Linked DNA regions of Cricetulus griseus. The protein of the gene in region 4 purifies or fractionates together with the protein of the main gene of each other region. This does not show direct contact. Links are inferred from orthologs where the notes say so. Each region holds a gene or a part of one and is shown on either strand. Other genes may lie near its edges. The genes, in order: Nop56, Hnrnpa1, Hnrnpab, Dhx9, Hnrnpa2b1, Ago2 and Ssrp1.

Region 1 (4,286 bases), on a different chromosome or scaffold from region 4:
TGGCCATCACCCCCATAGCAGAGGCCTGTATAGGTCAGGGAGTCCTGGTCAGCCATCACTGTAATCCCCAAACAAAGCAGCGGGCACCAGAAGTAGCACCTGACATGGGCAGGCACCCTCACTGGTACCTGAACAGGGCCTTTTCAGCCCCAAGGATCTGTACTGTGGATGCTGGGTACTTGGCCAGGTTGGTGAGGCTGCCAGCATGAGCAATGAGACGTGCACCTACCTGGAGAAAGATCCAAGGAAGAAGCCAGGTGAGTAGGGGGGAACTTGACTTATCAGTTTCACCCCTATTTTCCTCCCCACCATGCAACAACTAGGGACAACATGGTAGCCAGAAGTATAGCGGTACAGTATGCTAACATTTTTACTCCCCCATTTGTAGTCCCATAACGCACCGCTTCCCCAATTAAGGCTGACAGGCTGGGGGCTACTTGGCTCATCTTGGAGCGAAGGTAAGTGTGTAGGCTCTGGCGATACTCTGACAAAGACACCACACGACTGGAGAAGCTCTCGATGTTTATCAAGTCGATAGCAGATATGTCCATGCCTAGGAAACACCTAGTGTGAACAGGGGGACCAAATACTCAAGGAGTCTCGTACCTTATGCAGGTTGCCAGGCTCTGCACTGACCCATGGAGGACCGAGAGGCATCCAAAATGGCCTTAGCCTTGGCCCCATCCATAGTCAACTCTTCCAGCTTCTCCAGCTTTTCCTCATTCAATTCCCTGCGGTTTCCAATGAATTGAGCCAGGCGACAGTAGGTGGCATTGTCATTGATGATCTTCACCAGCTCTGGAAAGTGGTACCCATACCACTCCCTGCAGAGTTACAATCATTCCCTTACCCAGTTTGCCAAACCTCAAATAAACCAGATCCCAAGTCTCCCTCAAATCCATGTCTCCCCATTCACAATTCAGACCAGGCACAATGGCCTAGGCTGAGGTGTACATGGGGTAGGTTTACTCTGCCTCCTCTTTCTATACAGTCAGTGTTAAGAACACAGCCTGTGGTAAGCACAAGGAGGCCTGGCTTTAGCCCATGATTATACCCGCAGGAATTGTCAACCCTGCTTGACCCTTGTTAAGTTTATAATAGCTAAACCACAGGCCAAAGAGCCCAGTGTTTGGTAGCCCATGCACTGCATCTTACCTGACACGCATTGAGAAGGTATTGATATCTTTATCCAGTTGGTCCAGAAGGCTTATGGACTGGATGATCATGTTGTCCACCCGGTTCACATTAAATTTCACTTTGGCCCGAGAATAGCTGTGTCCCAACCCTAGCTGGGCTTTACACGCAGACAGGTCTGTTAGACCCTTCACCAGATTATGGAAGTGCAGACGAACTCCTAAAAGGCGGGACTATGAATAAAACACGTGGCCACGGAATAGCCAAGATAACCATCTACCTCTTGTCTCCCTCTTCTGGCCTCTGTGGGCACTGCACTTACATGGTGCACGCAGTAAGTGCAAGCACTAACACATAAAATCTTAGCAGCTTCGGAACAGGAGGACTATCTTACCTCGAAGGATCTCAGCTATCACACCTCCAGTCTGGCAGTTGTACCCCAACTCCTCTTGTATTGCAGCACCAATCTTGGGGTCTCCAACCCCCAGCAATACTTTCTTTTTTTTAGACGGCAGGTATGTCTCCAGGAGCAGACGGAGGTCCTCATGAACAACACCTTGGGACAAAGAACACTTTACCTGTAAGACTCCACCTCCACATCGGATCACGAAAGAACACCCACCCCTCCAGGCATTGCTCAGAAACATGGAGACATCAGTGATCACACTCAGTGGATTGACAGATTTTTCAAGTCATCAGTGCAAAGCCTGGCTTCACCACGGTGGCACAACTGTGAAGCAGTGAGCTCCTACTGTCATCTTGTAGGTCCCAATACCTAGCATGCATCACGTGCTCAGCAAAATCATCTTAGAACACCGTCGCTTAGAATCACTCGTCGCTGAGCGACTAACTCACCTTCAGACACGGCATTGGCATTTTCCAAGGCAACCTGGGATGAAGAAAACGGACAGAAGGCGACCAGACGAACGACATTGTGGAATTTGCCAAGGTTAAGTACACACTCCTCCACCTGTGGAGAGGAGGAATGAATGGGCTTTCTTTGAATTTGGCCTCCACAGCGCAGTAAACCAGGAACCAGCTGTAATATTCATGGGAACACTGGTGCCTAAGCTCCACATCCCGATTCTACTTTAATTCTCAAGATTTGAGGTGTTTATCTCCACTCTCTAAGGAGATTATACAGATACGCATTAATTAAAAATCTCGTTCCTGAGCTTTCACCCCCCCCTCTGCCGGTGCGGTCGGCCACGTGGGAACACGCGGTGCATGATGGGGTTCGGCGGCCTTAGGGGCTGCATTGCAGCACCCCGAGCCCACCGATCCCACCCACCTGCGGTAGCAGCAGGCTGATTTCCTCCACTTCCTTCAGGGCCAACAGCGCGTAGCCGACCGCATGCTCGAACAGCACGTGCAGCACAACCTGAAACGGGAACCGGCGCGCGGCCATCAGTCAAGCTACCGAGTCCCGCCGGCCGCTCTTAGAGCAGGTCCTGGCCCATACTCCGAACCCGAATCCGAACGCACACCCAGACCCGCACCGAGGCCTTCTCGTCACTAATAACCCACAACCACTCCTCACCATGGCGCCTGCTCCGTGCCCAGCTCGCAATGCGGCTAGCGCGCTCTGGCGCGCGGAACTAGACTGCGGAGACCACGCCCTCCCCTCCTTGGCCAATCAGAGGCTGAGGACGGAACCATTTTCATGTCTTCGGAGGGGTTCGCGGGTGTGGTATCGTCCGCCGGGCGCGCTAGACTGCAGCGGGCGCGAGCGGGCCGGCCCATCCGAGCCTCTGCGGCTGCGCGAGCCGGTGCGGAGACCGGGGCAAATGGCGTCCGTTCTAGCCTGAGGCTGCATAGTGCTCTGGAGACCGCCCTTGTCCGTCTCTCGTGCTTTTGTCACCGTGGGCCGAGCGGCAGAACTCGGTGAGGGGACGAGACACTCCATGACGAGCGTCGCAGGCTTTCCGCTGGCCCGAGGCCTCTGGTGACAGTCCGGGTCCTTGCCTGCCGCCTGCGACTCCGCCTCAGACGCTGCAAAAATGGCGGCTCCTCGCCGCCTGCCTCTTCCTCGTAAATTTTATTGCTCAGAAAGTACTGGTGCGAGCAGTAGCGTGCATAGGAAGGGTGGTTTAGGTCTGTTCCTTGCCCTGTTTCACAGCTCTGCGCCAGCTCTGCGCGGAGCCACGTGTTTGTCATCGCCCGTTAGGCCCTTATCTATCAAGGAGCAGCTTCCTGCTCTCCAGGGCTGCTTTTAGGCACACCGAAGTGGCTAGTTTAAAATTACTTTTTCTTTAAAGAAAGAAAAAACCTTTTTTAAGTAATGTTAGAGTTACAAGTCCCAAACGTAGTTATATTTTAGATACTCCGTGCCTTAATGGGTTAATAACAATGCCAAGATTTCCTCCCTTCCATTCACTCTTTATTTTCTTTCGACCTCGCATTTCCTCACCCTTATCTCCCGTCGCTCTTCCTTTCTCTCTCCCCGCTTCCTTTCTTTTCCCTTCCTCCTTCCCTCTTTATCTCTTTCTTTCCAGGGCTGTCTTTCAATTGGCTCTGTAGCAGAGAATGACCTTTGAACTTCTGATCCTCTTGCCTCCCAGCCCTGTGCCATCTATAGAGAATCCATTGCAGACCCTCTGCTTACTCTTCTACAACGCCTAGGGGGATTTTGGAAATTCTATCAGAAAGCACATTTATAAGTTAGGTCTGTTTTGTTTTCTTAACTCAGTGACTTCACAAAATTCAAGCACAGGGGCTGTAAACATGGCTCTTCCAGTAGGTCCAGTGTCTCCACAGACACAGGAGGATTAGGTCTTGTCATTTCTGGTCCTTAGCCCTTTGCATGCTTGTTGACTTCGTCGAATAAGAAATGGGCTGATGAGTCCCATGGAGAGGTAGAAGCCCTGAAACTATATGGAAATGGACAGAGGCCCAGCCCTCCAACTCTCATTGCCAAAATAGACTTGTGTCCTACCCCTTGCCACTGACTTCAGCTGCATGGAACCCTAGAAGTGACCAGAAGGGCCATGTATGTGTACCCTGCGGGTGAAAGCCCAAGCTTTGTGACTTCCAGTGTGACCTGAAATTAATCACCTAACTTTGAGATTCTGTTTCTTCAGATAAAGACTAGAGATTCATTCATCTCTGTAACAATCTCCTACTGAACATCTGGTAATGGGTATGGTACCTGA
Region 2 (3,973 bases), on a different chromosome or scaffold from region 4:
TCCTCCGTTGTTATAGCTGTCATAGCTGCCACTCCCGCCATAGCCACTGCCCTGGTTTCCATAACCCTGTCCACCACTTCCATAGCCTCTGCTTCCTCCAGAGTAACCAGGGCCGCCTCCTCCATAACCACCTACAAGAATACAAGCCTTCTCAATAAGACAAAAGTATTTAACAATAAAAATCTATGCAAGTGTAATGACTAATGGCCTGCTCACAGCATGCGTATTACGGGGCTGGTTGATTTTGTCATGCACTAGGTTTAGTGTCTACTAGCCTAGTCTAAAGGTATAGGTTGCTAGAAATTTTACTTACGGATTCCTTAAGAAACTTACCGTCATTACCAAATCCATTATAGCCATCCCCACTGCCACCATATCCACCACCACCACGGCTACCACCGAAGCCACCTGTAAGAAACCAGAGCTTTAGGTATATGAATGAAGCAAATGCTAATCTCTGTGTAACGAAAACTTATGTTTTGGGTAAAATCTAAATGCTATAAACAAAGACTAGCAGTTATCCATCGTTCCAAAAGCAATTAAGAAATCCAAAAGGTACACACCTCGACCACTGAAGTTTCCCCCTCGACCAAAGTTGTCATTGCCGCCAAAACCACCTCCACGACCACCACCAAAGTTTCCGGAACCACTTCGACCTTAAGAGATGTTTGGATCATTACATTAGACCAACTTGCAGCAACAACCCAACTACCCTCTGCAAGTTCTAACTAAGCAAGAGATACCTCTTTGGCTGGATGAAGCACTGGCCATCTCTTGCTTTGACAGGGCTTTTCTCACTTCACAGTTGTGGCCATTCACAGTATGGTATTTCTGAACTTAAAAAAAAAAAGTTAACTTTAGGGCTTTAAACACACTGAGTCCCAGTCATTAAGAAATCTGAGCACGATGGGTGTTGGTGGCCCACGCCTTTAATCCCAGCACTCAGGAGGCAGAGGCAGGCAGATCTCTGAGCTTCAGACCAGCCTGGTCTACATGAGCTAGTTCCAGGACAGCCTTTAAAGCCAGAGAAACCCTGTCTCGAATCCACCCAAAAGAAAAATGTAATCTGGCTGGGGGGTGGAACACCCCATAAATCCCAGCATTCAGGAGGCAGAGACAGGCCATCTGAGTTTGAGGGCGGGTCTCATTTCCAGGAAAGGACCCAAAGCTACAGAATATTCCCAGTTTGTGGGGGAGGGAGGAGGAGGAGAGAAATCTAATTATCTGACACTTACTAACAATCTTGTCCACAGAGTCATGGTCATCAAAGGTGACAAAAGCAAACCCTCTTTTTTTCCCACTGCCTCTGTCCGTCATGATTTCAATCACTTCAATCTTCCCATACTGCTCAAAATAATCACGAAGGTGATGTTCTTCAGTGTCCTCTTTAATACCACCAACAAAGATCTTTTTCACAGTTAAGTGGGCCCCTGGTCTTTGAGAATCCTAAAAGGAAAATGATGCAGTCATTATTAGTACATTTCAAATGATTGGCAGCTGTGGTGGCCCACGCCTTTAATCCCAGCACTCTAGGGGTCTATCTGGCGTCTAGATAAAAGAGAACCCAACTATTAGCATAATAACACTCACTTCTCTTGAAACAGCTCTCTTAGGTTCCACAACTCTGCCATCCACCTTGTGTGGCCTTGCATTCATAGCGGCATCTACTTCTTCCACAGTAGCGTACGTGACAAAACCAAAGCCCCTGGATCGCTTCGTATTTGGATCTCTCATTACCTGTTTATAGAGTTAATTCAATCAACATATTGCCTGATATCAGGACCTGAGGCCATTCCAACTCTGAACATGTCCAGCATAAAACTCCATTTAGACTCAAGCATAAGGCCCCCAAACAAAGATCCTTTTAAAATTATACCATTAATTACCTTCACAAAGCATCTGGGTAAGAAGTGCGGCATGATTAAAGCAATAAAATTAAACCAGCCCCGCCTTTTGTTCCTTCTAATCTTACCACACAGTCGGTGAGTGTTCCCCATTGCTCAAAATGGCTTCTCAGACTCTCGTCGGTTGTTTCGAAGCTCAGCCCTCCAATGAAGAGCTTCCGCAGCTGTTCCGGCTCCTTGGGTGACTGAATCGGATCAAAGGAGAGCCGTTAGCTAAGGGGCTGGAACTTGAGCGAATGGATCAACTCCACGCATCAACATAGGCCGCACTTTTTTATTGTTCTTTATTACAGCACAAGACCACGTGCTCCTCTCTGGGCCAGGAGGTGCTGTTGGGGCGTGGGGGGGAGGACTAGCATGCAGCGCATGCGTCCCTACTCTATACGCACGCGCAACAAAAGACACGGGCTGGACTGGTCAATCGCCATTAAAACTTACTGAAGCCTTAGCAGACGTTAGTTAGGCAAAGCCAAGAAAGAAAATAAAAAGAGCCACAACCCCCAAGGTCGCATATCTGTGAATTCTGCCACTAGGAGCCGAGTGTGGAAACTAGCGGTTAGCGGACGGCAGCCTCATGGCGACTACGAGGACAAAATGGCGACCTGCACTTTGTGAGCAGGCCTCGGCAACGACCGATCAAACACCGAAAGCATGGGTGCCAGCCAGAAAAATAGGTCGCATCCCGTCCTGTTCATTGCGTATGGAAGGAAACGAAGCCGCAGAGCGCGCACAACTCACCTCCGACTTAGACATGACGGCAGGGAAACGAGAGCCTTCAGCGATGCTTCCTCCGCCGCGTCAACAGGCAGAAAGGAGTAAGTCAACGAACGTATCCGCCAGCCTACCTTCGGCTCGCCTTTTTATCCCGCCTCCTCGCTTTCGGCATTGGTAGACTCCGCCCTGGCCTTACTCTGATTGGAGATCTGGAATTGTTCCCGCCCACTCTAGGTCTGTGGATCCGCCCTGCTAAGAGATGGCATCTGCTGGGGCGTTCTACGCAGTCTCCGCCCTTCGGAGTCATCGACGCTCTGGGGGATTTTTTTTTTAACCAGGTTGATTGACTAGCTAACCAGTGGTTTATATTTGAATGTACCCATGTCTTTAAACGCCTTGCATAACTTCCCAGCGTCCGAACATTATAACCTCACTTGGCAAAACACGACACGTTAGGAAAAGTAGTTCGCTACCACTTTTGCAGCCACTGCCCGGAGAGCGCATGTGTAATAAAAATGGCGAGTTTACGCCGGCGCACTAAGGAGTTCCGCTCGCCTACTGAACACGTGAAATGGCGGGCGGCGGGCGGGAGAGGGCGGTGAACCTAAGGCGCCTGCGTACTGGCGGGAGCTGCGTCCTGCTTTGCGCAGGCGTTTTGGGCGGAGAAAAGGTCTGGGCCCAGGATTGGTTGCGCAGGCGCAGGGAAAGGATCCGTTTTGGCGGGCGGCTGGCGTTGCGCAGAAGGCGGCGGTAGCGGGTGGCTTGTGGTGCAGCTTTACCACAGAGGAACCGCGCAGGCCTTAGTGTGAGTGGTCACTGTAGATCCCGGGTAAGTGGCAGAGTCTTGACTAACCGTGGGAGTTCCTGGACCCGCTCCAATTGGACTCGTTATTGTACGAAATGAATGGGCCCCGCTGGACTTGGGGGAGCGACAGTGAAGGGGCCGCGATGGGTCGGGCCAGCCAATGGGAGAACGGGGGCGGGATGTTTTAATTCTGCCAGGTCCTTTTGGGCTGCGCTACCAGAGCGTTTGACTGACGAGTGTATAGGCCAATTGGGTCTTCCTATAGCTGCCTACGGATCGGCCCTTGGGCCATCCGAATGCGGGAGGCGGGCTTTTCCCGCCCGAGTGGCGTCTCTCAGAGCCAATGAGCTCCAAGCGCGCGATAGGCCGGCCTTCTCCAAGCGGCAGAGGCTGGACTCCAGTGGGGAGCGCGGGAGTCGGGAGGTTAAATCCATGGACCAAACCTGGATCAAGTAAATGGAGAGATTCCTTGAAAGAGAGGCATCTTGCCTTCAGAGGGAATTGTAGGGGTGCATATTTTATCTACAATGACTCCTATAGTGGAGGCAAT
Region 3 (4,234 bases), on a different chromosome or scaffold from region 4:
AACTGTTTTAATGTCATTGTGTACTACTATAGAGAAACAGTAAGGTTTTACTAACAAAGGGTCTATAGGTAGCTAATCTACACCTCCAAGAACCAAAAACCAGTAAAACAGTTCTGACACCTTACCTTGCTTCCGCTGACAGTATGGAACTTTTTCTCCAGAACTTTCTTCACAGGGTCTTCCTCTTTATATGTAATAAAAACAAAACCCCGTCTTTTGTTCAACTTGGGATCTATTGGAAGCTCAATGGCTTCAATCTGTAAAAACAAACAAAGCTTAGGTGTAAACCTCTTAGGTGTACCCAAGAACATAGAAACCTGCCAAGAAAAGACCACTGAAAAGATGAGAAAACTCTACTAATATAATAATCTGGCCAGGCAAAGTCAAAGAAGAGCAGAAAGAAACAGAAGCCATATTCACCTCCCCAAACTGGCCGAAGTATTCTCTGATCTTTTCCTCTGTGGCTTCAGGGTTCAGACCTCCCACAAAGATTTTCTTCACAGGATCCTTCTTCATAGCCATCGCCTTTTTAGGGTCAATAACACGACCGTCCAGCCTGTGTTCCTTCTGGTCTAAGACCTGTGTAAAACAGAAACATGTTAGGTTCAATCCAACACAAATACAAAGAGGGCTTAATTCTCTCTGGGGCTAAACCAAATTGACTTCCTAACCTCCCATACAGAGGACCACCTGAATACCTATAAGCCACCCCCACTAGCCTCTACCCAGGCTCTACACTCCTCCTAACCAGTAGTTCCCTACTTAAGACCTTTCATTAAAGCAGTGACAAAGAACACTAGATAATCTAGTGCTGAAATCCTCTCCACCCTGTATAAATGCATGCATTTTCACCATTTCTGAGATTTAGGAATTGGGGTCCCATCTCCATTAAAATTGTATTAAGAAAAAAAACTATCCTCACAGCAATCACAGTAAAATATTTAACACCAAGCCCATAAATAAGCATATAAAAAAGGTAATAAGCAGCCGGGTGGTGATGGCACACACCCTTAATCCCAGCACTTGGGAGGCTGAGGCAGAGGAATCTCTCAGTGAGTTCCAGGACAGTCAAGGCTGTTACACAGAAATCCTGTCTCGAGAAACCAAAAACAAAAAAGTATTAAGGGAGGGCTGAAGGCAGGACTCTAGTTACTGCCCAGCTCACTGCCCTCCTACAGGATATGCAGTAAGCTTTTAAAACAGTACGAACAGTAATCCCCCAGAATCATTCCCTCACATATAACCCATTTAATCTGTACTACCCCTCAAAACAGGAATTTAAGCTCTTTGTCCCTATCAAATACTGCAGTGCCCGAGTTCCTTAGGACTTAGAATCCTAATAGAGACTGCTGCTAACACCCAGCTTACCTTCTCTACACTGGAAGAATCTTTGAATAGGATAAACCCAAACCCTCTTGATCGTCCAGTGTTGGGATCCATTTTAATTGTACAGTCCACGACCTCTCCAAACTTAGTAAAATAATCCTTTAAGTCTTTTTTGCTGGTATCCCAACTCAGACCACCAACGAACATTTTTCTGAAAGGAAAACAACGACCACAAATCTTAGAAGCAGGATGTGATTTTTACAAAAGTCTGACCCGGATACACTTTCCTAGCAAGCACTTGTGAAGCCACGGTGCCACAGGCCAGCCCGAGATGACCCTTTTCAAGTTGATCCCTCCTGTGTTACTCTGGCATCTCGACTCAAATGGAACTGTATGGAGATCGTATAGCCACACGGTGTGGAAAAAGGACAACCTGGTCACAAACGTGAACCATAAGCCGTCACAAGTTTAAATTAGCGTGTTTGTACTCCAGAATGGAAACGAGCTCCCGTTCCGTTCTTCCCCGCCTCCCAAGAACTGATCCCGAGGAACTCTGGGTTTCCTGGGGCCGAAACCGCCCCAGGGTTCAGGCCGTGACTCCGCCCCTCGACCCGAGGCAGGCTAGGCCGGGCCCGCCGCGCGCCAACTCCGCCCACGCAGCCCAGACGCAGCGCTCGCGGCCCGATTCGAGGTCGGCCGCTTTTCCTCTTCCGGGGCCTCCCGCCTCGAGGCCCGCTACAGTCTAAGCACCCCGCGAGCAGCCCAGGGCGACCGCAAAGTCGACCCCGCAAACTCCTGCAAACTCCAATGCGCCTAACCGCGCCTGGGCCCGCCGGCGAGCGCGCCAGGCACCGCTCGGCGGGCCGCCCGCCCCTCCCCCCGCCGCGTGGCGCCAACAAAAGGCTGCCCCGGAACAAAGGCACCGGCCCAGCGGCCCGCGGCCGCACCTACCCCGCGTCCTCCTCGTTCTTGCTGGCGTTGATCTGATCGCCCTCGGCGCCGTTCTGGTTCCCGCTCGGGGTCGCCGTGGTCCCGCCCCCAGACGCGGCCGGGGCTGCGGGGGCCGGTGCCCCGGCGCCGGGCTCGACCGGGGCCTCGCCTTCGGGGGCGGCCTCGTGTCCGTTCTCAGTGGCGCCCGTCGTCTCCATGGGCTGCTCCTCAGCCGCGTCCGACATGGTCGGCCAGGCCGCAGCGGCTCCTGCAACGAGCGGCGACGGCACGTCAGGCCCCGCGGCACTCCCCGAGCTCCCGCCCACCGCCCGCGGCCCGGCCGGCTCACCTCGCCGCCGATGACGCCGCGAGGCCCTACTCGCCGCGGAAGGCGCCGCGGGCTTGGCCGCGCTGACACCCGCACCCCCGGGAGCTCGTCCGCGTCCACCGACGGTGTCGCTCGGCTCGACTGCCGGCGTACACAGGCCAAAGATGAGACCTCAGCTCCGTCCCGCGCGGTGCCACCGCCTGACAATGCCAACTCGTGGAGCTCTTTATAATGCCGGAGCCGGGGAGCACCTCGTAACAAAACATATTCTGATTGGCTGAAGCCAACCGCCACTCACCACTGTCGTGGCATTTTATTGGCTGATGCGGCGCGCGCGCTCTAGATCCGGGCGGGCTTTGTCCTCATTTTAGAACGCGCGCGAGTCAGAACTGCGTACGGTTCCGGTTATCGAGCGGGCGCCTCAAGTGTCCCTTTTTGTCTGGGGGGCGCACACGACAGTCTGTCGTCCCCTCCGCTTACCCCATCCCACACTAACAATCCCGGCCTCCCAAAAGGGGATAAATGCCCCGGAGGAAGCCCTAAACCCAAGGTCGCCTGGAGGAAGTAGCCGAATCTTGGTTTCCAAGATAATGGGGTGCTAGGGTCATCTGAGGCCCTCAAAGCGGCCTTCTCCTAAGCCGCGGTGTGCCGAGATGCCGGTGCTCTTGCCCTCTCTTCCAGCGATGCTGGCTGGGGCGGTCCGTGGAGGTCTGACGCCGTGACCGTTGGAGTGTGGTGTTTCCAGTTTCAGCTTAATACCGATAGATACTTAACATCGCATTCATGTTTAGTTTTGCTTTTAATTTATTTCTTTTTAACGTTGATTGGGTTTTGTTTTGTTTTTTGAGACAGGATCTCGAAGCCCAGACTGGCCTTAACTCCAGACAAACACTCCTTTTTCACCCGCTCAGTGCTAGGATTGTGCAGCATCACCACCATGCCTGGCTTAATTTCATTTATTCTACATGACTTTTTAAGAAAGAAAGAAAGAAAGAAAGAAAGAAAGAAAGAAAGAAAGAAAGAAAGAAAGAAAGAAAGAAAGTCTTTTTCTGTACCCAGGGCATGATTACAGACATGTTCCACCCTGCCTAGTCTAACAACTTGTTTTCAGGAAAAATTTCCTGTTAAATCACATATGAGGTGATGTTAAAGAGGACTACTTCTCTTTTACGATTTAACCACAAGGCTTTAAAGGCCTGAGTTATCCCATGATTTCTGTGTATATGTACATAACACAGAAATGTTTGAGTGTAAGCACACACGTGCTAGGGCCTGCATGTAGACATCAATTAAAAGTGTCAATCTTAAACAGGCTGTGACGGCGCATGCTTTTAATCCCAGAACTTGGAAGGCAGAGACAAATGGATTTCTGTGAGTTTGAAGCCAGCCTGGTCTACGGAGTAAATTCCAGGACAGCGAAGACTACAAGAGAAATCCTATCTCAAAAAAAAATAAATAAATAAATAAAAAATGAAAATAAAAAAGTAATAGTCAAAAAACTTCCTGGTTCTCTCCTTTCATTTTTCTTTTTTTTTTTTTTTTTGGAGTGGGGGTAGAGTGGGGCAGTCGAGGCAGGGTTTCTCTGTGGCTTTGGAGGCTGTCCTGGAACTAGCTCTTGTTTTGTTTTGTTTTTCGAGACAGGGTTTCTCT
Region 4 (3,500 bases):
TCTCACAATGAACATTCCTCATTCCTGTAGATGTGCTGAGGAATCGACTTACATCATCATCTTCACCACCATCCTCTTCTTTATCTTTCTTCTTCTTGTCCTTTGGAGGAGGAATGAATTGGGTCATCTGAATGCAGTCCTCCAGAAAATATTCTGTCAGGGACAGTCACATTAGTTAAGTACGTGATAATTTATAAAATGTCACAACTGCAAATTCATTTGCTAATCCACAGTTGAAACTACTTTCATCCTCATCAACTTGAGGCTTCACAAGTATAAGAAATTCCTACAGTTAAATTTCAACAACAGAAAGTACATTATGATTCCATCAAACTCTGCAAGATTTGAGATAATTCTTACAAAGACAGCTGGGGTTTCCCCTTTATACAACTTTTTAAAACCAAACTTTCATGGAATCTGTGTATACCATCATCCTCTCCCAGGAGGATGTTAATGCAAAGACTGAAGATCACTAATCAATGCTGTGCCTAATATTCTAAAACACCAAGAAGTGACTCTATAATCTCTATTCTGTATCTTCAACCATAAAGCCACCACCCAAGACTGCAAACCAAAGGTACATAAATTAATGTCCACCAATTTTATTCACTATTAAGTTGTACTCCCCTGCCACTTAGAAGTCCACTCTTTAGGAACAAATATTACTATCAAGTCCACTCTGAGTAGTAGTCAAATTTTATTGGCAAGGAAATCCACGTACACATACTATTTATAAGGTTTCTGCATGAAATCTGTAATTGCCACTTTTCTATTCAGTGTATATTTGTAATTTAAACATTAAACTTAATCTAGTACCATCATTAGCTTTCTGCTCAAACTGTGCCCATCTCTGCCTTTTGCCCAGATTAGGAGAGATTAAAAAAAATTTAGTGGCATGGCAGCTATTGATTTCATCACACTGTTAAGTCTCTTAGGGTTAGTTGCGTTTCCTTACCTGGACTGTGCAATAAGTTATTTCAATAAAATTCATATATTCTAGGTTGATCAAAATTTTTGATCAAGTTTCTCTGTAGCTTTGGAGGCTGTCCTTGAACTCAGAGATCCACCTGCCTCTGCCTCCCGAGTGCTGGGATTAAAGGCGTGAGGCACCACCCTTGGCCGATTAATCAAAATTTTAAATCATCAACTCAGCTGCTGTCCCAATGCCATGCCTGCTTCCATGCTTACCATGTTGATCATAGACTAACCCAAAACAACAGTATAATCTGTAAGAAACTTAATTCCTACCCTCTACTATCTACTAATCTCTTTATAAAGTTCTTCAGTATTGAAGTACATCAATTATTAGAACTTTGAAACCCATAGCCTGAGAAACAATAAGATTATGTCACAGTATTTGGCTTAGATGGGTGCTGGGCCCACCATTTATTTTTTAATTAAAACAATGTAGCATAGCATGGCTATTCATCTCACACAAATACATTTCACAATATTGTCGACTCTCTTAGCAAATTTAATTTCCTCAATTGGGCTGTGCAATGCTACTTCAATAAAATCAAGATGTTCTTATAATAGTCAAAGTTTTATCAAAAGCATAGAAATCAATGGCCTGTTTTTTAAGCCTGTATTCATATGGTATCCTAGGAAATCCACAGAGGATCCCCTGGGGTTGCAGATGGTTGTGAGGCAATACTGGCATGTTTTCAGTCTTTTAAACTATCACTGTGATCGCCAAAATTAAGAAAATGCATAGCTTCCTTCCCATCATATCCACATAATTTACCTTGAACTGGGAAAGTCCTTCCATAAACTTCAATGATGGGGCAATTAAAGAAATATTCACAGAACATGGTGGTATCAATAGTTGCAGACATAAGAACAATTCGGACTTCAGGATAAGCCAGAACCACATCACGAAGTACTACCAGAAGGAAGTCAGTCTATTGAAATAAGAACAATAATTGTAAGGGGTAGCAAAATACACCTTTAAGATTTCTAATAGTCATAAGACATTAGTGAAAATTGTTTCACACACCAGTTTAAGATTACAGTGAATTTTTAATGAGATAGGGTGGTTAAGGATCTTAGTATAGCATTGACTTCACTATACCTTATAGACCTTAGACTTGATTCCTCTTTCTCCCAATTCCAAAGCCTAGGATTATAAGCATGTACTACCATCCCTAGTGTTATATACTGCTGGGAAACCAAACTTAGGGCTTCCAGCAACTGACCAGCTTTTTCCTGTTTCTGTATGTGTACTTGCATGCTTAAGAGGGGAAAAAAAAACCTTTAGGTAAAGTTTAAAATGCACAACTTTCACTAGAAACATGGTAAAAATCAGTTCAAATAAAGTAACAGCCACAACTTAGTTTTATAATGTTTAAATTGCCTGCCATATCACCCACCATTATATTTATGGGTCCTCCCTATGTAGGCTTTGTATATATACCATACTTTTTATGTCATGCCTATCTCAAAAGACTCTAGAGGAAAGGAATTTGAACAGAGGTATCCTAGGGGTGGGTATGGAGTCAGTGAATGAAATAGCTCCCACAAACAACCAAGTCAGTAACTGAAATGCTAGGAATGGCTATTTAGCTAAATGCTGATATCCAGCAACATTAAGACACATATACTTCTAACAGTGCTATATAGGTATGCATATCCTGGTCTACAGAGAGAGTTCAAAGATAGCCAAGGCCATACAAATTCTGTCTTGAAAAACCAACAAAACAAGTTATGTTAAGGCAAAAACACTCCCACCAATTTGTCAGAACTTAAAAGACCAATCCCTTTAGAGATTTGGTATCTATGACATTTAGTCTTTTCTTTATGAAAATTATCTACTTCTTTTTTGATGCTATGTTCACGCCTTGCATGTCTTTTTATTAGACATTAAACTCGTTTAGGTTTTCATCTAGAACAATGTTTATTCTAATCTGGGTATAGTTTTCCATGTAAAAGATACAGGATTCTCCTTCAAAGTATTCATCCTATATTTCTTATTGTATGATATACTGCCTATCTGATGAGGTTTAACACCTTTAAAGTAGAATAACTATCCATGGTATTATTCCAGACATTAATTTTAACTCTTTAACACTAGTATGTCAACACTATAGTTAAGTCTCTACTAAAACATCTGGGTGTACTTGTTCATACTTTTAATAAATGACTAGGGAAGCTAAGGCAACAGGACTGTTCAAAATCAGAGGCCAATCTATGTTGAGGACCCTGTTTTAAAAAGAAAACCAAGAGTAACTCCTAGATTCCAATAGCAACTTGGGATAGTTTGAATGACCAAACTATGTGGACACACTTTTTCTTGTATCAATAGGATCTTTAAAAATTGTGTATTTCAATATCAAACTTCAATTCCTACAATTGTATAATAAAACTATACTGACTTGCCAAGCACCCAAGGCAAAGGTGAGAAATAAAATTTTCATTTTCCTGTTTCCCATGATGATTTTTAGCATCTGAAATAACCTACCAATACCCACCAACATTTTGCCAAAAGCACAGTATCACATACA
Region 5 (3,425 bases), on a different chromosome or scaffold from region 4:
CTATACCTCAATTGCCTAGATGTATTTCAAGTCTTATTACCTCCACCATATGGTCCTCCCATGTTCCTGCTACCACCAAAGTTTCCACTCTTCATTGGGCCATAGTTAGAAGGTTGCTGGTTATAATTTCCAAAATCATTGTAATTTCCACTTCCATAATTTCCTATGAAAGAATTAAGAGTATCAGCTAATAGACCTCTGAACTATTATAAGAACTAAACCATAACTGAGGTTTAATTTTTAGGATAAATTTTCTACAAAAATCAAAGTATATGGTACCTATCTATAATCCTACAATTTAAAGCATCTAGGTGACAATAAAAATAAGTGTCATTAATTCTAATCCAAATTCCAACATAAAGGTTGTAGATGAATTTATTACCTCCTCCATAGTTGTCATAACCACCTCCGTAGCCCCCACCCTGGTTGCCATATCCAGGTCCTCCACCACCATATCCTCCTCTTCCTCCTCCATAACCAGGGCTACCTCCAAAATTGCCACCTATTATAAAATAAGCCTTTAAGTAATTGCTTAAATTTTTACAATTCCATTTGAATTGTCTTTATTACACTCATTTCTGGTTTTTCAAAATACAACTTTTTTTATAAGGTTAATTATTTTAGTCTATTCTAGTCTATTTACTCAAAGGTAAAATAACTATTCTTGAGCAAATGTTTCAGGGTCACAAACCACCATTTAAAACAACGTAAGGTAACCTGTAATACCATTACTATATACTTTGAACCAGAAAATATTTGAAATTCTTATGCTCTGCAGTTTGAGGAAGAAATATGGGGACAGCATTCAGGCAAGATTTAAACTCTGGCAAGCTGATCTCTTAAGTTTGATATCAACTTGGTCTACATAGAGATCATCTAAAAAAACAAAATTTATAGGCTATGGATAAGTCCCTTAGGTAAAATGTTATCCTAAGGGGATCCACCTGTACTCTTGATATTCCCCCATAACACACAGACCTCAAAATCCCAACATTTTAGCTTTTCTACAAAGTGCAATCCCCACCTAGCTACAGGCATGCTTTGCTTAGCTACAAAACTCAAGAGTGCATTTTTAAAAGCCAAATAACAATTACACCCAAGTACGGACAGGCAAAATAAGTGATACACATATTTAATAAAGCACAAAGTATACTAGTAAATATATTAAATAAATATTAAACTCTCAATGAAACTAACCTCCAGGTCCTCCTCCATACCCATTATAGCCATCCCCAAATCCACGTCCACTTCCATATCCATCTGTTTAGAAAAAGTAAAGTTACACTTATTTTTCTCAATATTTTCTATTAGTATCTCAGAATGAGGGTGGCTGAAAATCTTAACCAGTTTATTCATGGGGGGGGGGGTATGTTAACTGCATCTTACTACCAAAGCAACTCATTTTTTAAAAACCCCAATTGTTAATAAGAAAAATTATTTTCTTAATATAAAGGTCTAAAGTGCATCAAAACTTCTAAGTCACAACATTCACACAAACTATAACCTAAGAAGAAATAAATTATCTACCAGTTTTGACAGTTTTTTGGGGAGAAACAAAGACTTATGAACAGTCTAGTGTTTATATTGAATTCAACGTGTGTGCATGGCTGAGGAAGACACTTAACTTCTAATCCTCCTGCCTCTTGTTCCCACATACTGAAATTAAGGTGTTAGGGATTCAACATTAGGCTAATAGCACCATACATGCTCAGCATGTTTTACCAACACACAACACAGGACATCCTAAATCCGAATAAAACCATTCCATTCAAAAATCATGCCCTTTAAAAACACTCACCAGAACCCCCCCTGAAGTTGCTTCCTGGTCCTGGTCCAAAATTGCCGCCGCCACCACGAGAATCACCAAAACCAAAGTTTCCTAGGATATATGTTTTGATTAGTAGCAAGCATTCAGACAAAACCCATCAAATGTATATATACATATAAAATACACAAATCTAAAAATGTATGATTTCTTACCTCCTCGTCCACTCCTAGAACTTTGGACTTCTTGCATTTCTTGTCTAGACAATGCCTTTCTAACTTCTGCATTGTGACCATTGATGGTGTGATATTTTTGCACTGAAACAAAAACAAAAAAACTGAATCATAAATACATTCTAATAAGCAATTTTTCTTTTGGTTTTTCCAGACAGGGTTTCTCTGTGTAGCTTTGGAGCCTATCCTGGCACTGGCTCTAGAGACCAGGTTGGCCTGGAACTCACACATATCCGCCTGCCTCTGCCTCCTGAGTGCTGGGATTAAAGGTGTGTGCCACCAACACCCAGTGCAATCCTGAATGTTTTAACAGGCTGTTAATACACCCAACATTTTATATACAACCACTCTTATGCCTAGACACTTACATACAATTTTATCCACAGGATCATGGTCATCAAAAGTAACAAAGCCAAAGCCTCTTTTCTTCCCAGACTGCCTATCAGTAATTATTTCAATAGTATCAATTTTCCCATATTCTTCAAAGTAATCTCTAAGGTGGTGTTCCTCAGTATCCTCTTTAATTCCACCGACAAACAGTTTCTTCACAGTCACATGGGCTCCTGGTTTTCCAGACTCCTACAACAGATAGTGACAAAGTTATCTGACAGAAAAAACAAATACACAAATTAAACCACCTTGAAAGCACAAACTTATACTTCAGTCTTAGGACAAATTCCTTCAGATATAGCAATAGATTTGAAGTTAAGTCCTAGAAAGTCATGTACAAAAAGCTAGTACAACCCAAGAAAACCACTGAACATATTTTGCTCACCTCTCTTGCTACAGCACGTTTTGGCTCAACTACTCTGCCATCAATGGAATGAGGCCTTGCAGCCATGGCAGCATCTACCTCAGCCATGGATGAGAATGTTACAAATCCAAATCCCCTTGATCTTTTGCTTGCAGGATCTCTCATAACCTTTAAAACCAAAAGATGTCAGCATTAATTTCAAGGTAGTTATGAACAAACCAATTGGTCTTTTTTATTTTTTTTTTTTTTTTGGCCAGGTGTGGTAGCACACGCCTTTAATCTCAGAATTTGGAGAGAAGAGTTCGAGGCTAATGTGGTTGGTTACAGAGACACCCTGTTTGAGAGCCCGCCCCAATGTCCTTTTTTATATACTAATTTCCTGTATGATTCATCCCAACAAGAAAATTATCCTTTTTGGATTTTTGGGAGACAGGGGCTTCTCTGTGTCTTTGGAGGCTGTCCTGGAACTAGCTCTTATAGACCAGTCTGGTCTCAAACTCAGAGATCCGCCAGACTCTAAGGGCTGGGACTAAAGGCATGTGGCACTGCAGGCTGGCTCAGCCCAAAATTTATGCTTAAACTCAACCATACTAAAACCCACAGTCAGACTTTCACATTTAACGTACCACACAGTCTGTGAGCTTTCCCCATTGCTCATAGTAGTTTCTCAAAC
Region 6 (3,940 bases), on a different chromosome or scaffold from region 4:
GAGGGCTGACTGAGCGCCAGCTATGGAATCCCAGATTGTCCGGGGCCAGAGCCTTATCCACTTCTCCTGGCTTTCTCACACCTACCTCCAGCACTCACCCCCAGCTTCAAATTGTTCCCTTCAGCACCCCAAACCTAATAGCCCTAAAACTCAGTGACATCTGGCCTCTCTTCATGCCATGGCCATGAAATAATTTACTCAATGTTTCATAACAGTGGTTGTCAGGATGAAGGTACAGACAAACCCAATGCCTGTCTAGCTGGACCATTCACACAGATGAGTCTCCCCTAGAGACAATGAGGCACTGGCTCAACTCCGTTCACCCTTGTGGTGGTTTGAATGAAAAATGTCCCTAGTTTTGGGCATTTGAACAGTTGATCCCTAGTTAGCTCAGGAGGCATGGCCTTGGAGGAAGTACATCACAAGAGGCAGACTTCGAAGGCTTGAAGACTCTGCCATTTCCATTTTGCTGTGCTTCATGCTTGTAAATGTCTGAAAAGATGTGAGCTCTCAGTTTCCTGCTTCTGCTGCCAAGCCTCCTTGCCATGATGGACTCTGACCCCCTGGAATGATCAGTGCCAAATAAACTTCCTTCTATAAGTTGCCTTGATCATAGTGTTTTATCACAACAAAAGAAAAATATCTAATACAACCCACAATCCATCACCACCCTCTCCTAGGTAAAGGAAGCTAAGAGAGCTGACAGGGTGGTCCCCATGGCTAGCCCTGGAGCCAGTTCCTGCCCAAACACACACATGAAGAACTATCTGGTGTTTTTCCAGAATGAGCTTGCCCACCTGGCACCACAAAGATTTGGAAGCAGTTCCTGCCCGGGGTCTCTTCCTCCTCTCTGACTCCTACAGTGTTGGCCTGGTCAATATCTCCAAGGCCCCAAATCCTCTCTTTAAACCACTGGCACCATCCAGCTACCTAATCCCTAAGTCAACTCCTCACTCCCTTGCTGCCCTCCTCAGCATCCCTCCCGAGCTCCCCTGGCCTTGTGCTCTCCAGTGAGCTATTCAAGATGCTTCCAAGGACTCTAAGCTTCAAGTGAGCTCCCTGGAAGTCAGGAGGAGTAGGGACAAGGAACCAATAGCACCTGTACAGACACACTGTAAACATGGGAGGTGGATGCTTTTAATGCTCTTTGCATCTCCATAAGATTCCATTCAGTCTTAACCATGTCTAAGTACCTGACTGGAACTCATATCTGTGTTGGCATATGGAACAGAGCCCACCACTTGTAATGTATATAGGCAGCAATGGAAGCCTACCTCTGCAGGCTCATCTTGAACCTGGTTCTAATGGGCCCTGTCTGGCTACTCTGGGTAACCAATCATCCTACCAGCAAGTTCTCAAGATGACTGGGGACACATACACATGGCTCCCCTTCAACCTGTGCCACACCAGAAAGAAAAAGAATCCAGGTCACAATGTCCAGAGGGTGTGAGCAACCTGGGAAATATCTCACATGCTCCAGACAGGGAAACTGAGACCCATACAGATGCCAAACTCCCCACACATGCCTAGGAGGACAGGACTGAAGTGGATGACTATGTTCATCTATCCAATGCCCCTGCTGACACTAGGGAAGACCAAGAATAGAGTTCCCGGATGCTGGTCCAGTGTCCAAGAGCCAGAGGCACTGTGTTCTTGGCAGACAGCAGAGGGTCTGGCTGCTTCACACACCCGGTGGGCCCCCTGCTTGGGGCTGCAGCAACACATTTTGGTATACCATCTCAGGGACACCACATGTGTACCTTCAGGCATCAGGAGGACTCCAGATGCACTGGGTGTGAAGCAAGTGGACACACTCAGCCCTGGTGCTGCTCCTGAGCCTCAGGCCTGACTTAGGTATGGCCCACCAGGTCTGCCGGCTGTCCAAATACCACACTTGACTGGAGGAAGCTCCCAGGTTAGATGATGAACCCTGCACAGCTCTACTGAAAAACTGATGGAAAGGCACAGTTGTTTGGTCTCAAAGAGGAAAAAAAAAAAAAAAAAAGGTATAAATAGGGATTTCAGGTTCTTCAGCTCTAGAGGTGAAAGTGGGAAATTAAGTTGTAGCTTGACGCCATTTCACCACAAGAGCTTCACTTTATTTAACCTGCCAGGGTGAAAAGGATGGTGCAGGCTGGAGCTGGGCCAGCGTAGCCTCACTGCCCGTGAGATAGTGATGCTGGTAGAGTGAAGCTGCAGGGTGCTGGGTCAGGAGCAGATAAAGGAAGAGGATGTAGGCATCTGGAGTTGGAAATGCAGACAAAGGTGGAAGAGGCCTACTTTTCAAGGCTTTGGCAAAACACTGCTGATGTAATGGCACACATCTGGGGATGTCCCACAAGGGAAAATGAGTTCAAAGCCAGCCTGGGTACCATGTTTCAAAAACCAAAATACAACCAAGAAAGATTTAGATGACAGAAACCCAAATTTACACATTCTTTCATAACTCCATATTCTAATATCAGTTGTAGGGTCTGGAGAGATGGCTCAGCAGTTCAGAGCACTTGTTGCTCTTGCAGGACCCAGGTTCAGTTCCCAGGATCCACATTCACAAATGTTTGTGACTCGTTTCCTGATGCCCCTTCTGGTCTCTGGGGCCACCAGGCATGTATGTGGTACATATCCATGCATGTAGGTAAACACTAATCATACAAATAAAAACAAAATTTAAAAAATAATCCAAGTGTAATCATGTTTCTGAAGCCAAGAGAAGTGATAGCACCTGGTATAACGATGGCAATGGGCTGTGTTCATACATACCTGCACCAGCTCTTTGTGGTGACATAAGCCTGTAATCCCATGTCTCCAGGAGTAGAGGCAGGAGAATGAGCTTGAGACCAGCTCGGGCTATACAGCCCACCCTGTCTCTGAAAGAGAAGGGGCAAAACAAACAAACAAACAAACAAACAAAAATTCCCTGTATTCTGTACACACAAGCATGTCAGGGTGAACTGGCTGATCTGGAGCATGCTTGAGGATGTCAGTGGGGAAGAGGCAGCTGGAAAGCCACCGCCCAAACACCTATAACTGCAGGAGGAGGAGGAATGGACAGGCACAAACCAAATCTGCTTTCACCCTGCTTTCATGTAAAATTACTTCAAGGTAGAAACTTTTTAAAAATCCTGTTACATTTTCTACAATAACAATTCATATAGCTTAAAAAAAAAGAAACATTTTTGTCATCCTGGCAGCCCAGTCTCTTGAACGGCAAAGAATAAACCCAATGGTGTTGACAAAGAAACTCAGTTACAAAATGTTGCTTCTTAAGAATGTGTAAATCAAAGCTTTTACAAGCAACACCTTATTTAAATAACTACACAGGCTGGGGGGGGGGGAGATATTTCCCACAAATGCTCATCAGCCACCATGCTGTATGCATTCCAGCCGCTGGCAGCAGAGCCCGCCAAGCTGCAGTGGTACCCTCCCACACAACTGGGAGTTGGGGGAGAATCCAGGGAGCAGGGCCACAGTATATGCTCAAAAATCCCAATCCTGATTGGCAACTCTACACTCATTTTTCACTGTCATAGAGGTTATTTTGTAGCAAATCCTCCTGGGCAATAAAAGCCGGAGTACAGCCAGACAGCTTAAAAACCTTGGGTGGGGGACCCCACCTATAACCCACTTTAATAGGAAGTTTCCGGTTGGGTAGAGAATTTACATATGCTAAACCATTAACCCTTTTGGAAGGGAGTGGGGGAACAACCCAAACCTGTCAAGTTCTGAACCTTGCCCCCCCACCTCCAGCTATCAGCTTCACACGTGTAAAAGGGGGATAATAACCCACTGTGAATTCTATTTTTAATGTTAATTTACTAAGTATTTACTTCCCTTCAAGCTGGGGAGCCGCAAAACTCTTTGTAACGTTTCTAGAATTCAGATACAATGGCCTTCCATCCTCCTACATTTGGAAATATGGTTGCGTCTCATTGAAGAAATT
Region 7 (3,500 bases), on a different chromosome or scaffold from region 4:
ACTCATTACTCTTACAGACAAACCACAACCCTGTCTTACCCACCCCAGACTCAAATGCCCCTCAACCGCCCAGACTTCCTGCCCCACCTCGCTCCGCCTCCTCTTCTTTTTGCTCTTGTTCTCTCCTGAAGAGCTCTCATCACTGGACACAAATTCTTTGCTCTTGAAGCTCTCACTTAGCTGCCTTGATGAAGACTTGGATGATGAACTCCTAGAGGGAGTGGATTTTTTTTCCATCTTTGCTTTTACTTTCTTTTTCTTCTTAGACTTGTCCCTATATTAAGAAAATGGAAAAGACGCCAGGCCATTAGTCTTCCCATATTATCAGATAGGCCACATTTCTCCTGGCTTTAATGAGGACGTCTCCAGTAATGGCCATATTATTCTCACCCTGGCAAATATAATGTCAGCTCTGTAGCCCAAAGTACACCAAAGGAGAGGATCATACGTGAGTACCTGAAGAGCCAGGGTCACGGCCTGAAGCAACTTATGCAAAACTTACCTGGCACTTTTGTTTTGTTTAAAAGTTCATATGGATTTTGAATTAAGCTTCACAAAATACTTTTTTCTAAACCCTCCCATTATTTATTTGAATATAAAACTGATCGAGGAAAATGGGCCATATTTATCTCCTAACTCCATACAACACCTATACTCGGCAATGGCATAAGCACTATTTTACTGCTGTCAAAAATATGTACCACAATTCTCAATTCTAACCTGGAAAAAAAAATCTGCTAAAAAGAGCAGTTATTGGGACCATTTTGTTCCTAACACTCACCTTTTAGAAGATTCACCTCTTCCTCCTTCATATTCTTTCATGGCTTTTTCATATTCCCTCCTGGCATCCTCAGCCTTTCGGTCCCACTCCTGTCACAAACAGTCCTTTAGACTGATGCAAGCAAATCTGTATCTACAGATGGATGAGTGACACACCCTGCACCCCCACAAAGCCCTTCTCACCACCACTCCTTTCCACTGTTACTCACCTCTTTCTTCTCTTTGGACATTCCCTTCCAGATCTCGCCTGCCTTCTTAGAAAGATCTGTGATGCTGATGCCAGGATGGTCTGACTTGATCTTCTCTCGGCTGGCATTAAGCCACAACATGTATGCAGACATAGGCCTCTTAGGGGCATTTGGATCTTTACCCTTCTTCGCCTACATGAGAAAGAAACCAAATGCCATCAGCCATCCATATTTCTCAACTATCCTAAGTTTCCCCAAGGAAACCATCTGGGGAGGGGGAAAATGCAGGGAGAACTAGATGGAACTGGGTACCCAGGAACAGCTCTAAGGGCAGGACTAGCCGCTTTTTCCTTCTCCAAGAGATGCCCTGGGCAGAGGCAGGATGTCTCCTAATTCAGATGCAGAGACTCACATCTGTCATGGTACTAAGAACAAGTTACAAATGAGTGCTCAGTCCTAAATGGAATATCTCTATCACCAAGGCCCAGGGAATACAGCTAAAGAGGTGGGCAGGAAGAATGCAAGAGCCAGAGAAAAGGGAGGAGTACTATGAAACACTGCCATCCAGATACAGCATGGCTGCTGTGACTGTCAACAGCTATGGATACTTGCCCAAGGCCAATACAAGATTGGGTCCTGATATTCTATCATAGATAGGAGAGGCAACCACGAGGGCTCACCCTTCCTAAGGTGCTACATGCAGTTAACATGCAGTTGCTAGGAGAAGATGAGTCATTTTCTTCAGCGGGGCAGCCACTGGTAAGGTCTTACACATGCTATACAAGCAATCCTAATTAAACTCATCAGATACAAACCAAAAAGACAAGACATGAAAGCAAAAGATGGACTAGTTCAGGAGTTGAAGGAGGGGAACAGAGGGAAAGGGGGTATGAATAAAATCATAGTACATTGAATGTATGTTAAAATTGTCAAAAAATATTAAAATTGGACAAACAAACAAAAAACCCAGATCTTCTAGAAACAGTATCTCAGGGCCAAAAAGAAAACCTAGACGGTATCTACCAAAGCCACACTCACCCAAAAGGCAGCACAACCAACAGGACCTGCTGCGAGTGGAGAGGAGAAAGAAAACAGAAAATGGAGACGCACACACTCACTCTCCCAATCTAGAGGTGAGTCTGTACCTCTGAAGACTTCTTGCGGCTCTTGCGATCCTTGGCCATCTTGGCCCTTTTGAGCTGTTTCCGCTTCTTCTCTTCTCGGTCACTGTCCCCCTCATTACTGGAGGAGCTGGCAGAGGCATTGCTGTCAAACCTGCCAGAGTAAGGCTTAGACTCAGGAAAGGAAGGCAGGATACAGATCTTTTCTTTCATTTTGAGATAGGTTTTCTCTGTGTAGCTCTGGCTACACAGAATTGGAACTCGCCCTGTAGACCAGCCTGGCCTCGAACTCACAAAGATCTGCCTGCCTCTGCCTCCAAGTGCTGGGATTAAATGCTTGTGCTACCACTGCCCAGCCAGATGTCTTGAGAAAGTAGTAAAAGGAATCTAGACATCTGCCCAGAAAGGGCCAAGGGAGTAAGTCCCAAGGACAGGCTCCACCACTAATTGCCACCCCAGCTTCCTGCCTTTCACTAAAATGATTTCATATCCCTTCTCCAGACCCAGCCACCACAAAGGCTTATTTGTTTATTCAATCAATAAAAAACCAATGTTTCAGTGGGCTCTTCTGCTCTAAGCCAGGTAGGTTCTATTCCACTCCTGCCCTTCAATACTGTCTCCTGCTAGCCTGCAGCATACCAAGTCTACTTCATCACTCCCTTTGGTTAAATCACCTTAGTTTATACTACAATCTTCTGCTAAAGAAAGACTGAAAGGGAGGAAACCAAGTTTCAACTGAAGCCAGTCCCTGTGTCTGACTCTCCCGTCCAATAAAGCGCATCTCCTCTGGACACACAGCTGCTGGTACTTGCCTACTACTGAAAGGCTCCCGAGGCAAGTAATAAGCATCTGTGCCTTATTAACCCTTGCCAGCACAACTAGTGAACTTCTGAAAGACGGTCAGTTTGGTTTTGATTTTGCTGCCCCACCTTTCTACATCAACAATCCCAGTTTTCTGTAGGAAAGGAGCTCATTCTAACTGCAGAGTCTAAGGTGGTTCTGCTCCATTAGAGCCACAAATATATTATCTCAAGGTCAGGAAGGCAGTTGACCAGAGACAACACTATCCACTGTGCTGTTCACCAAGAGGTGCTTCTGGGTGTTAAGCTATCCACATTAAACCTTCCTAGACCTGAGGGACATAGAGCAAGCTTTCTAAGAATAGTAAAATCAGAAGCAGATTCCTCACAACTTCTGAGCACTGAGATCCAGTAGTACCCATGGTCAACTACATTCCTGAACTCTCCAGTTACATAAACTAAAACAAACAAAAAAAAAAAACACACACTTAACCCTGTGGAGCCAGTGTGAGCCTTCTTACTTTCTGAAAAGGACAATCAGAAGTCTTGACTGATATAGCACAGGGGTACTACTGTTATACTGTCACTGGCAAGTGAGGACTCCCAGCATG

Evidence for each region.
Region 1: the proteins of Dhx9 (region 4) and Nop56 purify together in Homo sapiens (affinity purification with mass spectrometry; 3 studies listed by BioGRID and IntAct, with this or other methods). This does not show direct contact. The link is inferred for Cricetulus griseus from reciprocal best matches to the Homo sapiens genes DHX9 and NOP56.
Region 2: the proteins of Dhx9 (region 4) and Hnrnpa1 purify together in Homo sapiens (affinity purification with mass spectrometry; 7 studies listed by BioGRID and IntAct, with this or other methods). This does not show direct contact. The link is inferred for Cricetulus griseus from reciprocal best matches to the Homo sapiens genes DHX9 and HNRNPA1.
Region 3: the proteins of Dhx9 (region 4) and Hnrnpab purify together in Homo sapiens (affinity purification with mass spectrometry; 3 studies listed by BioGRID and IntAct, with this or other methods). This does not show direct contact. The link is inferred for Cricetulus griseus from reciprocal best matches to the Homo sapiens genes DHX9 and HNRNPAB.
Region 5: the proteins of Dhx9 (region 4) and Hnrnpa2b1 purify together in Homo sapiens (affinity purification with mass spectrometry; 4 studies listed by BioGRID and IntAct, with this or other methods). This does not show direct contact. The link is inferred for Cricetulus griseus from reciprocal best matches to the Homo sapiens genes DHX9 and HNRNPA2B1.
Region 6: the proteins of Dhx9 (region 4) and Ago2 purify together in Homo sapiens (affinity purification with western blotting; 5 studies listed by BioGRID and IntAct, with this or other methods). This does not show direct contact. The link is inferred for Cricetulus griseus from reciprocal best matches to the Homo sapiens genes DHX9 and AGO2.
Region 7: the proteins of Dhx9 (region 4) and Ssrp1 fractionate together in Homo sapiens (co-fractionation; 3 studies listed by BioGRID and IntAct, with this or other methods). This does not show direct contact. The link is inferred for Cricetulus griseus from reciprocal best matches to the Homo sapiens genes DHX9 and SSRP1.

Annotation. Positions count from the first base shown.
Region 1 is NC_048599.1:48,334,196-48,338,481, forward strand, and holds the start of Nop56 (nucleolar protein 56), read right to left. Parts: upstream 2,801-4,286; 5' UTR 2,678-2,800; coding exon 2,675-2,677; intron 2,516-2,674; coding exon 2,426-2,515; intron 2,105-2,425; coding exon 1,990-2,104; intron 1,839-1,989; exon of another isoform or gene 1,768-1,838; intron 1,691-1,767; coding exon 1,529-1,690; intron 1,355-1,528; coding exon 1,156-1,354; intron 1,033-1,155; exon of another isoform or gene 899-1,032; intron 825-898; coding exon 637-824; intron 554-636; coding exon 402-553; intron 230-401; coding exon 129-229; intron 67-128; exon of another isoform or gene 1-66. UniProt on the Homo sapiens protein: Involved in the early to middle stages of 60S ribosomal subunit biogenesis. Required for the biogenesis of box C/D snoRNAs such U3, U8 and U14 snoRNAs. Part of the small subunit (SSU) processome, first precursor of the small eukaryotic ribosomal subunit.
Region 2 is NC_048595.1:399,611,948-399,615,920, reverse strand, and holds the start of Hnrnpa1 (heterogeneous nuclear ribonucleoprotein A1), read right to left. Parts: upstream 2,801-3,973; 5' UTR 2,658-2,800; coding exon 2,643-2,657; intron 2,090-2,642; coding exon 1,973-2,089; intron 1,738-1,972; coding exon 1,591-1,737; intron 1,447-1,590; coding exon 1,236-1,446; intron 837-1,235; coding exon 744-836; intron 657-743; coding exon 564-656; intron 409-563; coding exon 334-408; intron 132-333; coding exon 1-131. UniProt on the Homo sapiens protein: Involved in the packaging of pre-mRNA into hnRNP particles, transport of poly(A) mRNA from the nucleus to the cytoplasm and modulation of splice site selection.
Region 3 is NC_048600.1:65,881,110-65,885,343, forward strand, and holds the start of Hnrnpab (heterogeneous nuclear ribonucleoprotein A/B), read right to left. Parts: upstream 2,801-4,234; 5' UTR 2,606-2,800; intron 2,525-2,605; 5' UTR 2,502-2,524; coding exon 2,278-2,501; intron 1,538-2,277; coding exon 1,369-1,537; intron 580-1,368; coding exon 421-579; intron 258-420; coding exon 126-257; intron 1-125. UniProt on the Homo sapiens protein: Binds single-stranded RNA. Has a high affinity for G-rich and U-rich regions of hnRNA. Also binds to APOB mRNA transcripts around the RNA editing site.
Region 4 is NC_048598.1:38,201,283-38,204,782, reverse strand, and holds part of Dhx9 (ATP-dependent RNA helicase A), read right to left. Parts: intron 1,902-3,500; coding exon 1,745-1,901; intron 154-1,744; coding exon 53-153; intron 1-52. UniProt on the Homo sapiens protein: Multifunctional ATP-dependent nucleic acid helicase that unwinds DNA and RNA in a 3' to 5' direction and that plays important roles in many processes, such as DNA replication, transcriptional activation, post-transcriptional RNA regulation, mRNA translation and RNA-mediated gene silencing.
Region 5 is NC_048601.1:89,870,355-89,873,779, reverse strand, and holds part of Hnrnpa2b1 (heterogeneous nuclear ribonucleoproteins A2/B1), read right to left. Parts: coding exon 3,379-3,425; intron 2,921-3,378; coding exon 2,774-2,920; intron 2,578-2,773; coding exon 2,367-2,577; intron 2,083-2,366; coding exon 1,981-2,082; intron 1,880-1,980; coding exon 1,799-1,879; intron 1,261-1,798; coding exon 1,198-1,260; intron 503-1,197; coding exon 383-502; intron 164-382; coding exon 41-163; intron 1-40. UniProt on the Homo sapiens protein: Heterogeneous nuclear ribonucleoprotein (hnRNP) that associates with nascent pre-mRNAs, packaging them into hnRNP particles.
Region 6 is NC_048595.1:370,847,700-370,851,639, forward strand, and holds the start of Ago2 (protein argonaute-2), read right to left. Parts: upstream 2,801-3,940; 5' UTR 2,786-2,800; coding exon 2,761-2,785; intron 1-2,760.
Region 7 is NC_048599.1:90,490,868-90,494,367, forward strand, and holds part of Ssrp1 (FACT complex subunit SSRP1), read right to left. Parts: intron 2,244-3,500; coding exon 2,114-2,243; intron 1,161-2,113; coding exon 990-1,160; intron 871-989; coding exon 782-870; intron 275-781; coding exon 88-274; intron 1-87. UniProt on the Homo sapiens protein: Component of the FACT complex, a general chromatin factor that acts to reorganize nucleosomes. The FACT complex is involved in multiple processes that require DNA as a template such as mRNA elongation, DNA replication and DNA repair.